Danio rerio: one gene and its partners. Each later gene encodes a partner of the first gene's protein in a complex. Links are inferred from orthologs where the notes say so. Each region holds a gene or a part of one and is shown in the gene's direction. Other genes may lie near its edges. The genes, in order: odad4, odad3 and clxn.

Region 1 (4,343 bases):
TTTTTGGACTCTCAGTATTGAATATTAAACCACATTTAACCGAGCTAAACTGAACTTGAACTCTGAAAACTGAACTGACACGGTTTTAATTTACTTTAATATTCTATGTGAAGCTGCTTTGACACAATCTACATTCTAAAATCGCTATAGAAATAAAGGCGAATTGAATTGAATAGGGGCTCATAAATTTTCTTACAGTCATTCTCTCAACAATTATATACTTTTTTATTTTTGTTGTTTTTTATATTATAATTAGTTAGTGACTTTAGTTATTGATTGTTCATTTTTCAGTAAAAATGGTCATTATCAAAATCTTAAACAAAAAAAAACCCTGCTTTCATTGGTCAATATAGCACACCCCAGCTGCTTTTAGTAGTTTTGTGTGATGTTCACACATTCAATTCTTCACAGTCACTTTTTTCCTCATTCTCTTCCCTTTTTTTTGTCCTGCAGCATCTGGACCTGGAAACTTCTTCTTCCAGTTCGGTTAGCTTGGGCATTGTCCAGCACGTATGCAGTAGTTCCACAACCTCTGAATTCCCCCGAAACCGAACTGCTCTCCTCCATCCCTGCTCTCCTGATGAACGACACTCTGGTGAATCAGGCCTTCGGGCGCCACAGTTGGACCTGCATCTGTGCCATTGGCTTGTTTTTTTCCTGCTCGCGCACAAAAGACAACAACGGCAGGGGCAGACCATACTCTACCACCTCACACTACTCTCTCTCTTTCTCTCTCACTCCGATCAGTGTGTCCTCTTAATCCAGCTTTTCTTTTATCATTTGGTTTTCTTAATCCACAATATCGAATGTACCCAAGTGCATCATTTCCACATTTATTATTTTGGAAAAAAAAAATCTTCAGTTTAACAGCTGATGTTTGGGGGGGAACTTAAGAAGGTGCTACTTGCAAATCTCCTGTTTCTCCTTGACCGATCGCAAAATGCTCCATATCATCCAAACTAAGACAGATTTTAATGAAAAAGCAAGGTGTATCACAGGAGTTTCATTACTACTAGTGACGTATAGATTGTCTAAACCTGTACAAAGCCAGAATCCACACAGATTATATACATGCAACATTGCAAGCCATTTTAAAGACCTCAGCAAACATGAATGCAGCGCCTCATGCCAAATCTCATCACATATATATATATATATATATATATATATATATATATATATATATATATATATATATATATATATATATATATATATATATATATATATAAAAACACGCAAGTCGATTCCTGGATTGTTCGACTACTGCATACAGAGGTTGAGAGAAAGCGAGTGCAAGTTTATCTTTTAGCACCTGTTGGCCACGTTCCCTCTCTGTAATGTTCATTTTTTTCGTCATATGTTGCCATTCAAGCCCTTGCTGCATTGTACATTTTACTGGAATGTAAAGTGTTTTTTTGTTTGTTTTGTGTTGATAGTTTATGACTGTTTAATTTTTTTTTTTAACTCTGAAAGACACTCACATTTTTGATATGTATATTTATTGTAAATTCGCTGGACGTGAGCTTCGGACGGATGGATGGATGATCTTTGGATACACTAGGATCTGTATAGGTTAAACTGTATAGGGGAGAGAGTATTTTTAGCCAACACTCATAATAATAATAACAACTTCTGATTTAGAGAGGAAAAATGGAGATTATTGATCTGGTTATTTGTGGATTTGATTCCATTTACTCTGCTGTGTGCGTGCGCGCGTCTGTTTGTCTGTGTGTGGATGTAAGTAAACTGCAGGCATGATCAGTGAGCCATGTTTGGTGATCTCTACTGTTTTAACTAAGTGTTCCTCCACGTTGGATGCTGCAGATTTGTCGCGCTCCACCATTCTCTTGCTGTATTTGACCTGGCCGTGTAGTTCGTTCAGAAAACGTAAATTCGTCTGGAATATGTTCACGTTGCTCATCTTGAAAGATCTTCAGTGTATTCAAAAGATAATGTCCATGCTGACTTGGCTCACGCCGCTGGAACAGTCTCGACTATGGACCGTTTTTAAAGAAAAAAAGCCATGTAAATAAAGTAAGCCTCTTTCTGTTTTCCCCTTCACCACATGCTTAACTTTTATGTCTCCAATACATTTTTAAAAAGATATATAAATATTTTTTGTCTTCAATTTTGCTAGCTATAGCATTGTTATTTGTACACATTTTAGCAAATAAATGTGGTTTATTAAGTATTGAATGTAGTTTTAAATTTAATGTATTCCTGTGGTTCAATGCTGAATTTTTATTACTTCTAAAATCATTATATGATTATTTGCATTTCTATTATGATCAGATATTAGTACAAAATCACTAACAACTCAAATCACACGTAAAAAATATGTAATTGTTAAAAGAGAAAGACTTACTGTATGGGAGTTGGATTATCACAGAAAAAAATATATATAAATTTAAAATGGTAATTACATAATGTATTTTTAACAATATCTATTATATAAATGCATTTATTTTTGTGCAAATACTTGTTTTAAGCGTCATGAATTAACATAACATGACACTAAAACTGCCAGCTGTCTTAATTGATTCATTCATCATTCAAATGATTCATTCAAAAAGGCTGGTTCATTAAATAGTGACTGGCTGTGTGCTGGAAAATGTTCGTCTCGACACTGAAGACTTTGTATCATGCTTTTAAATCACAGGAATTGATTAAACTTGAGCTGCATTAAATAAAAATACTTAATACAATTGAATTTTGCTGTATGTTTGAATAAATGCAGCCTTTGTGAGCAGAATAACCACATTATAACTAATTCTAAGATATTACAGATTCTAAATTTTTTTTTTGGTCATGTATATTTTTAAACATGCAAATGTCTAAGACAAAGTGTGTGTAAAGAAACATTTACAGAATGAAATGTCAAACATTTTGAAGATATTTTAAACAAAAAACATCCTTTTTAGAGTGTATCATTACACTAAAACCCAACAGTCAACTTTATCAAGTGAAATGAGTTTAAAATTGATTTGAGTAAAGCACATAAGCACTGTAAAACCCGGTAGTTAACTCCAAATGTACTGAAAGTTAATTCTACTCATTTGAAAACAGTTTTAAACTCAATGTTTAAGGTAACGAGTTTAATAAATACCTCATTAATTCAACTTAAATGGAGTAAGTCCACAGTATAGATAATTTTTAACTCAAATTGTTTGTTGCAATTGGTTTCCTCACGGTTTTGAGTTGCCTTCTAAATGGTTTTTACAGTAATAATGTGCTTCAGTGCTTCGTTTACTCAAATGGATTAAGTTCACAGTACTCATTAGGGTTAGTTTTTGGATTGAGATGGTTTGTTATAATCCACAAATGGTTCAAGTAACCTTACATTTTTGGATTTTACAGTGTAGTATGATTGTATACAGTATGTATAGTGTAAAACAAAAGAGTAAGGTGTATAAATGGTCTAAAAGAGTATAAAAAAGTATAAATGAAACGTTTTCTGAGGTAAATTTGCACATTTAGGGTGAAATGGCGTGCTGTGTGTTGGCATGTCAATCAAAGTTCCTCTCACAGTTCATTGGTCCCACTGTGTTTTGTTAGTCACGTTGCTAGGATACACCAGACAGGACTGCAACCTCACGTATAGATGTGTACTGAAACGTTTTGACATAATTTTGCCTAAAATACGATTAAAATGTTCGATAACGAGGAAGGACAAGGCCCGAAAAGCACCTTCACCACCTACATGGCTGAAGGAGACCAGCTGTTCCAGAGAGGAGAGTATGTCAAAGCCGTCGAGAGCTTTACTACGGTAAGCCAACTCATGCAGGCTTTATGTGAAACGCACATCTGAAAATATGGTGTGTCTAAATTTGTTTTATTTTACAATAAATACGTGCTGTCTGTTATCCACCAGGCTTTAACTTTGCAACCGGATGATAAGAACTGTTTAGTTTCCAGATCCAGGTGTTATGTTAAACTCGGAGACGCAGAAAACGCGCTGAAAGACGCCGAGAGCTCACTTAAAGACAACAAAAACTACTTCAAGGTGTGTTTATTTGCAGTACTGGCTTATTTTCCTCTCGTTTTTGCTCTGAAATGCATTTTTCAGTAAAGTTACCGTTGATATGTATCTGTGTAGTAAGGCATTTGCCCTGAAGAGGGCGTACTTGTATAATCTGATTCGATCGTTCTCTGGATATCTGATAAGTAATTTGAATTCCATGTATAGCCCACTTTTTAATATAAACAACAGCAACAGCGATTATATTTTATAAATAAAATTATAAAAAGACATTATACAAGAAATAAAATCCAAGTTTACAATTTACATTTTTGATATGAGCTATACAAGCAGAAAGTTACTTTAGAAAGTAATGCATTAC
Region 2 (3,653 bases), on another chromosome or scaffold:
ATTTGTTTTTTCTACTATGGAAGTCAATGGTTAAAGATTTTCAGCTTTCTTCAAAATATCTTTGATTGTGTTAAAATAAAGGAACATGTGAATGTTTATAACCATTAAGGGAAAGTAAATAGTAAAATAAGAATTTTTTTGGGTGAACTGTACCTTTAAGAAACCTCAAGCATGGACTTATGAACTCACAGCTGGTGCAACCCTTACCTTGTGTTTTCAGCTGTGCAAGAACGCTTCAGTAGACATGCAACCTTAGTGGTGACATTTTCTGAAAGGCATTATATAATACAATTATTCTCATTGGTGAGCTTTGTAATTCTCTTGTTTCGTTGTTCAGCGCGGAGCAGATGCTGCAGGAGTGTGAGCTTCGTCTACAGCAGGAGCAGCAGCGTCGTGATGCAGCTAAAGATCATCTGGACAGACTCACACACATACTAAACACTGTCAGAGCAGGAGTGCAGCAGCTCAGCGACAAACTACAGCACATCCCATCGGTACTAATCAGTCCAGCCAAACACATCAAACATGCTCCACAAAACATGCCCCTTTATAACCCTGGCTAATAATAGACATGTTTTCTACAAATAGGCTTCTAGGAACTTCAGCCTTCCTGAAGCTTCAAGAGGTCATGGGTTTTCTTGCCTGAAATCTTTTCAAAATGATAAAGCGATAGATCACCCAAAAAAGAAAGTTCTGTCATTATTTACTCACCTTTCATTTGGTTAAAACTATTTGGGTGTTTTTCTTATGCAGAATGCACAGGAAGATATCTTCTTATGTGTTCAACAAGAAAAAAAAACAAATGACCAAAGGGTTTTGTCAATTTTAATATCTGAAAATGTACTTTCCCTTAAAGGTTTATTGCACCAATAAAACTTTCAATTGTTTGTAATTTATTTGACCTTTTTCTCCCTCTCCCTGACCCTTAAAATAAGCATTTTTTGTAGTACATTTAAGACATATATGTAAAAACCCTCTGTTGTGTTGACTAATCTATACTCATCAGCCACTTTTTTAGGTACATCTGCCCACCTGCTCGTTAATGCAACTTTCTAAACAGACAAACACATGGCAGCAGCTCAATGCATTTAGGCATGTAGACATGGTCAAGACAACCTTCGGTAGATCAAACTGAGCATCAGAATGGGGAAGAAAGGTGATTTAAGTGACTTTGAACATGGCATGGTTGTTGGTGCTAGACGGGCTGGTCTGAGTATTTCAGAAACTGCTGATCTACTTGGAGTTTCTTGCACAACCATCTCTAGGGTTTACAGAGAATGGTCTGAAAAAGAGAAAATATCCAGTGAGCGGCAGTTCTGTGGGCGCAAATGCCTTGTTGATGCCAGAGGTCAGAGGAGAATGGCCAGACTGGTTCGAGCTGATAGGCAACAGTAACTCAAATAACCACTTGTTACAACTGAGGTATGCAGAAGAGCATCTCTAAATGCATGACACGTCAAACCTTGAGGCTGATGGACTACTGCAGCAGAAGACCACACTGGGTGTCACTGGTCAGATAAGAACAGGAAACTGAGGCTATAATTCGCTCACCAAAATTGAAGAATAGAAGATTATAAAAACGCTGCCTGATCTGATGAGTCTCTATTTCTGCTGCGACATTCAGATGGTAGGCTCAGAATTTGGTGTCAACAACATGAGAGCATGGATCCATCCTGCCTTGTATCAGTAGTTTAGGCTGGTGGTGGTAGTGTAATGGTGTGAGGGATATTTTCTTGGCACACTTTGGGCCCATTAGTACAAACTGAGCATCGTGTAAACGCCACAGCCTACCTGAGTATGTTGCTAACCATGTCCATCACTTCATGACCACTGTGTACCCATCTTCTGATAGCTACCTCCAGCAGGATTACATGCCATGTCATAAAGCGTGAATCCTCTCAGACTGGTTTCTTGAACATGACTATGAGTTCACTGTACTCAAATGGTCTCCACAGTCACCAGATCTCAATCCAACAGAGCACCTTTGGGATGTGGGGGAACTGGAGATTCGCATCATAGTTCTACAGCCGACAAATCTGCAGCAACTGCATGATGCTATCATGTCAATATGGACCAACATTTCTGATGAATATTTGCAATACCTTGTAGAACCTATGTCACAAAGGATTAAGGCAGTTCTGAAGGCAAAAGCGGGTCCAACCCGGTACTAGTAAGGTGTACCTAATAAAGTGGCCGGCGAGTGTATTTGTAAACCCTGTAATATAAATATTTTTCTGTGTCTCTGGCAGATGAAGGGTCCGGAACCCCAGCTGTCTCCAGACTCAGACGAGCACATACTGGAGCTGATGTCTGAGGCTGAGGAGAAACTCATGCTGCTGAAAGAGGAACTGCAGGGCAATGATCTGGCAACCATCATGAAGGAGATGGAGGAGGAAGAGGTTAGGGACGCCATTAGTGTTTTTATATTTTGGCCTTATGAAGAGTTTTGTTTAATTTAAGAACATGTGCTATCTTTGTTTGGTTTTATTTAAAGCTGTAAAATAGCCCTTGCTCATATTTTTTCTGCTTCCCTGCAGTTCCATGCCACTATAGCGAGAAAAATACCCCAGTACAACACTCGCATTCAGCTGCATGAGGCCCACAAACAGGATCCTTTTGACGGTGAGACACTCCTTCCACATGAAATCACATATCTGTTACATAACATGAGATGCCTAATACAAAGTCATAGTTATGATTTAAAAAGTACAAATTTTGAAATACTAAGTTATAAAATTCAGATTAAAAGTACAGCATGAGCTAAGCTGAAAATATCAGAATCTAAATAATAAAAACTAATTAAATGCTGAAAATGATTACAAAGGCAGAAAGCTTATATTTATTGCAGTGCTTAGACATAACTTTGACTCATAATATCATATTTTTATCACATGATCACATATTATTTTATCTCAATGATTTCTTCCAAATCTAGTTTTTTAATTGATATTAATTATTTTTGGAGGCATGAAGTGTCAAATGTATTTTGAATGGGGATACATACTGTATACTTGCCATATAAAGCCCATATATACAGTTGAAGTCAGAATTATTAGCCCCCTTGAATTATTAGACCGCTTGTTTATTTTTTCCCCAATTTCTGTTTAACAGAGAGCAGATTTTTTCAACACATTTCTAAACATAATAGTTTTGATAACTCATTTATAATAATGGATTTGTTTTATCTTTACCATCATGACAGTAAATAATATTTTACTAGATATTATTCAAGACACTTCTATACAGCTTAAAGTGACATTTAAAGGCTTAACTAGGTTAATTAGGTTAACTAGGCAGGTTAGGGTAATTAGGCAAGTTATTGGATAACGATGGTTTGTTCTGTAGACTATCGAAAAAAATATATAGCTTAAAGGGGCTAATAATTTTGTCCCTAAAATTAAAAGCTGCTTTTATTCTAGCCGAAATAAAACAAATAAGACTTTCTCCAGAAGAAAAAAAATATTATCAGACATACTGTGAAAATTGCCTTGCTCTGTTAAACATCATTTGGGAAATATTTAAAAAAGAAGAAAAAAAATCGAAGGGGGCTAATAATTCTGACTTCAACTGTATGTGGCAATTGAAAGTTTATCAACCTCTGACAATATCTGTGAAAATGTGAAAATCTTTTTATATAAATGCATGCTATTTTT
Region 3 (4,188 bases), on another chromosome or scaffold:
TATTCTTACATCCAGGCTGAATTAGTGTGAAATAAAAACTAATAGAATTACTGTCAAAATGCACCGTCATTTAATAAACATTATTAATTTGGGGGAAAAGAAATTGTGTTCTTATTCATTCATTCATAGTATTTTTATGAAGTAATCAGTGATTGTGAATGAATTTAATGCACTGTAAAGCCCAACAGTCCACTTTATCAAATGAATTGAGTGAAAGAAATGTACAATATAAATCAGGAAGTGATATTACAAAGTGATAAGAACAATAAGTAAAAAAAGAAAAAAGTAATATGAAGAAAAGAAAAGAAAGAACAAAATGAAGAAAAGGCAAGTACAAAATTAAATTAAGAAATTAGAAATTAGAAATACAGAAAGCATTAATTACTAACATCCTGGAAGCATGATATTTTCATAAGTTTCTATTGACTTGCAGATTTTTGTTGTTGTTAGATAGACGTATAGCTTTAAGCAAGAAATCAATTTCAATTAAATAATGGGCAAATGAGGGAGAGGATTTAAGAAATTTTTGTTTGTGGATAAAGAATTTAGCAAATAATATTAAAAAAAAGTTATAGAAATATTCTTCATTTTTATTCTTGGGGCTTAAATAACAACAAATGATATTTTTCAGTTTAAAGATTTGTTTTGTTGATTGGGATTTCTTCAAATAATTACATAGATCTGACCAAAACAGTGAGATTTTACATGTAAAATACATGCGAGTCAAAGTTTCCTGATTTTCCTGACAAAAGGAACAAGTATCTGCAATATCAGTAAATTCTAAGATAAATGCATTGACCGGGTATATTTTGTGTAAAGTTTTAAAATGGATTTAATTTGCTTTGTTTGGGATTACATATTTGAATGGGAGAAGCATGTTCTTTTCCAATCAATATCTTCATTAAAGCTGACCAATATGATTTCTTTCTTGGAGCAATATGATTTTTTTTGTTGGACAATTCGAAGAATAAGTTTGTTGTTACATTTCTTAGTATTTTCATTAATAAACACTTCCTCGCACTTTTCCACACACGTGGGTTTCAATGTGTAAACAACAGTTACCATCAATGTGTGTTTGACAGGATCATTTATATATCTTACCACATACTGTATCCGCTGGTATACGACTTTAAACGAAGAATTACCTTCATAAATTTGCAAAATGCGTCCCTGAAGGGAAACGCTCGACAAGTTAAAATGCGTTAAATCGATGTATCCTGGTTTGTGTATGCAGCGCTTGCTCGTCACAACATTGCCCCGCCCACATTACACGTTTCCACAGCAACATTCAACCAAAGACTAAAAAGAGAGTAAAACATGCTGAAAATGTCGGCGATGAACAGAAAATTAATTCAAAACCTCGCCGAGACTTTATGCAGACAAGTCAAACATTGTGAGTATCTACTTGCGTTTGAGATATCAGCTTTTAGTTCGTTAATAACCTGCAGCTTTATAAAGTTATAACTCTAATAACTATACTAAACAAGGTAGGTTATTTAACGTTACTAAGCTGTGGTCATACTGTAGTTAATAAAACAGAGACGGAGTGTCTGATAAGGCTGTTCAACAGTCTGCTGGGAGAGCAGGCAGAGAGAAAGACGACTATTGGAGTGGACCGGGCCAAATTCAGAAATATACTGCACCACACTTTCGGGATGACCGACGACATGATGACGGACAGAGGTAACGTTGCGTTTCTGAATGAGAACAACGACCAACAAAACAATCACAATTTGCAGTGCAGTATTTATTGCATATATACTTTCACCGGCCACTTTATTAGGTTCACCATGCAAGCATTATAATGGGGTTTAAACTTAAAGGGATAGTTCAGACCCAAAATGAATACTTCTTCTCCATCGTTTGCTCACACTCAAGTGGTTCTAAACTTTTATGAGTTTCTTTCTGTTTGGGTAAAGTTACCCTAGTTGTTAAAGTAATTACAACCTCAAGCCTATCTAAATGTGGTTATAAGTGGTTTAAGATTGTAATATATTTCACTTAAAAAACAGGGGCAAACTTAAGTCATATGGGGGGCTCTAAGCAAAGGTATGGGGCCCCATTGAAACAAAACATTCTCTTTCTTTATAGATATTTTTCCTCTATAGATTTATTTATTATTAGTATTATTATTTTGGTAAATAAACAGCATGTTTAAACTAAATATAATCTAAATATAAATATATCTTGGACCTGTTACCAAAGATGCAACAGCAAAAACACACAGCACTGTCTATCATTTTTCAAGCTCTATAGTAGTAATCTTTTCACCATTATCTAAATAATAGCTGTTTGTGAATCAGTGGAAATTTTCTTTTGTTTGAAGACACTTCTTAACAAGCTAACGAACATTCCATTATTGATGGGGCCCCCATATTAGAAAAGAAGCAATAATGTTAAAATCTTAATGGTTATACACAGAAAAAAATGATAAAATAGCTATATGATTAATATAAGGTTCTTGGCATTGGTCGGACCCCCTAATTCCCTGAGGCCCTAAGCAGCTACTTGCCTTGCATATTTGTTAAGTCCACCCCTGCTTGAAAGTAACTTAACCCAACAATGGCCATTGACATTCAGAGTAGGAACAAAAGTACTATGGAGTCAGTGGCCGTTTTTTTTCCACTATATATACCAGGGGTGGCCAACCCTGTTCCTGGAGAGCCACCATCCTGCACATTTCAGTTGCAACCCATATCAAACACACCTACCTGTAATTATCACGTGGTGTTCAGGTCCTAATTAATTGGTTCAGGTATGTTTGATATGGGTAGCAACTGAAATCTGCAGGAAGGTGGCTCTCCAGGAACACGGTTGGCCACCCCTGATATATACCATTGTTTTCAATGAAATTTAAACAAGTGGAAATCGAGTAAATGATTGCTGAACTTACGTTTTTTTAAGGTGATGTATCTATTTTACCATCTCTGGCTTCAAAATTGCTTTAATTCTTCATGGCACAGATTTGAGTAGGTGCGGAAAATATTCCATGTTTTAGTCCATTTTAATAAAAGAACCTGCAGCTTTCATATCCTTGATGCAAATCTCCCATTCCAGTGCTGTATTGAACTGAGATCTGGTGACTGTGGAGCCATTTAAGTGACCATGTTCAAGAAACCGGGCGAAGTAGGCAGTGCTGTCGCCTCACAGCAAGAAGGTCGCTGGGTCACTGGTTCGATCCTCAGCTCAGTTGACGTTTCTGTGTGGAGTTTGCATGTTCTCCCTGCATTTGTGTGGTTTTCCTCTGGGTGCTCCTGTTTCCCCCACAGTCCAAAGACATGCGGTACAGGTGAATTGGGTAGGCTAAATTGTCCTAAGTGCATGAGTGTTTATGTGTGTGGATGTTTCCCAGAGATGGGTTGCGTCTGGAAGGGCATCCGCTGTGTAAAAACGTGCTGGATAAGTTGTCGGTTCATTCCGCTGTGGCGACCCCGGATTAATAAAGGGACTAAGCCGACAAGAAAACGAATGAATGAATGTTCAAGAAACCACTTTGTGTTTTGTAACCTGTATACATACATCTAAGTTTAGTAAGGGGTGACGCAGTGGCGCGGTAGGTAGTGCTGTTGCCTCACAGCAACAAGGTCGCTGGTTCGAGCCTTGACTGGGTCAGTTGCTGTTTCTGTGTGGAGTTTGCAGGTTTTTCCATTGCACTGATTTCCATTGTAGTTGTTTTTATAACTATGATGTCAATTGCAATTGGTTTCCAACATTTTTCAAAATATTTTCTTTTGGGTTCAACAGAAAAATAAAATCATATAGGTCTGGAAATACTTAAGAGTGAGTAAATTAAGTTTGGGTGAACTATTAGCCTTTAATGCATTAAGATACATCTTGCTGATTATTAGTTATTTACATTAAAAAAAATCACACCTAATAAAGTGGCCAATGAGTAAATACATATATGTTTCAGAGTCAAGAAGATATCACTCACTATACTTTTAATCTCTTGTGCACTCAGTTTGTCGTGTCATTGACAAGGACAACGATGGCTACTTAAGCGTTAAAGAGTGGGTTGAGGCTCTGTCTGTCTTTCTAAGAGGCACACTGGATGAAAAAATGAAATGTGAGCTCTTTACATTATAATCTCATACATGTTCCATACATTGTGCTATTTGATATATAATATACAATAGACTGTTTTGAGGTGTATGACCTGAACGGGGATGGATACATCTCACGTGAGGA

Evidence for each region.
Region 2: odad4 (region 1) and odad3 share a complex: the UniProt entries of both Homo sapiens proteins name them as parts of the outer dynein arm-docking complex. The link is inferred for Danio rerio from reciprocal best matches to the Homo sapiens genes ODAD4 and ODAD3.
Region 3: odad4 (region 1) and clxn share a complex: the UniProt entries of both Homo sapiens proteins name them as parts of the outer dynein arm-docking complex. The link is inferred for Danio rerio from reciprocal best matches to the Homo sapiens genes ODAD4 and CLXN.

Annotation. Positions count from the first base shown.
Region 1 is NC_133178.1:16,689,361-16,693,703, forward strand, and holds the start of odad4 (outer dynein arm-docking complex subunit 4), read left to right. Parts: upstream 1-1,413; 5' UTR 1,414-3,506; coding exon 3,507-3,769; intron 3,770-3,874; coding exon of another isoform or gene 3,875-3,918; coding exon 3,919-4,006; intron 4,007-4,343. Other genes in the region: dnajc7 (dnaJ homolog subfamily C member 7), read left to right, coding at 454-491. UniProt on the Homo sapiens protein: Component of the outer dynein arm-docking complex (ODA-DC) that mediates outer dynein arms (ODA) binding onto the doublet microtubule. Plays an essential role for the assembly of ODA-DC and for the docking of ODA in ciliary axoneme.
Region 2 is NC_133181.1:9,167,735-9,171,387, reverse strand, and holds part of odad3 (coiled-coil domain-containing protein 151), read left to right. Parts: intron 1-337; coding exon 338-494; intron 495-2,249; coding exon 2,250-2,399; intron 2,400-2,537; coding exon 2,538-2,622; intron 2,623-3,653. UniProt on the Homo sapiens protein: Component of the outer dynein arm-docking complex (ODA-DC) that mediates outer dynein arms (ODA) binding onto the doublet microtubule. Involved in mediating assembly of both ODAs and their axonemal docking complex onto ciliary microtubules.
Region 3 is NC_133194.1:42,812,039-42,816,226, reverse strand, and holds the start of clxn (calaxin), read left to right. Parts: upstream 1-1,282; 5' UTR 1,283-1,317; coding exon 1,318-1,393; intron 1,394-1,527; coding exon 1,528-1,683; intron 1,684-3,961; coding exon 3,962-4,066; intron 4,067-4,136; coding exon 4,137-4,188. UniProt on the Homo sapiens protein: Component of the outer dynein arm-docking complex (ODA-DC) that mediates outer dynein arms (ODA) binding onto the doublet microtubule. Seems to regulate the assembly of both ODAs and their axonemal docking complex onto ciliary microtubules.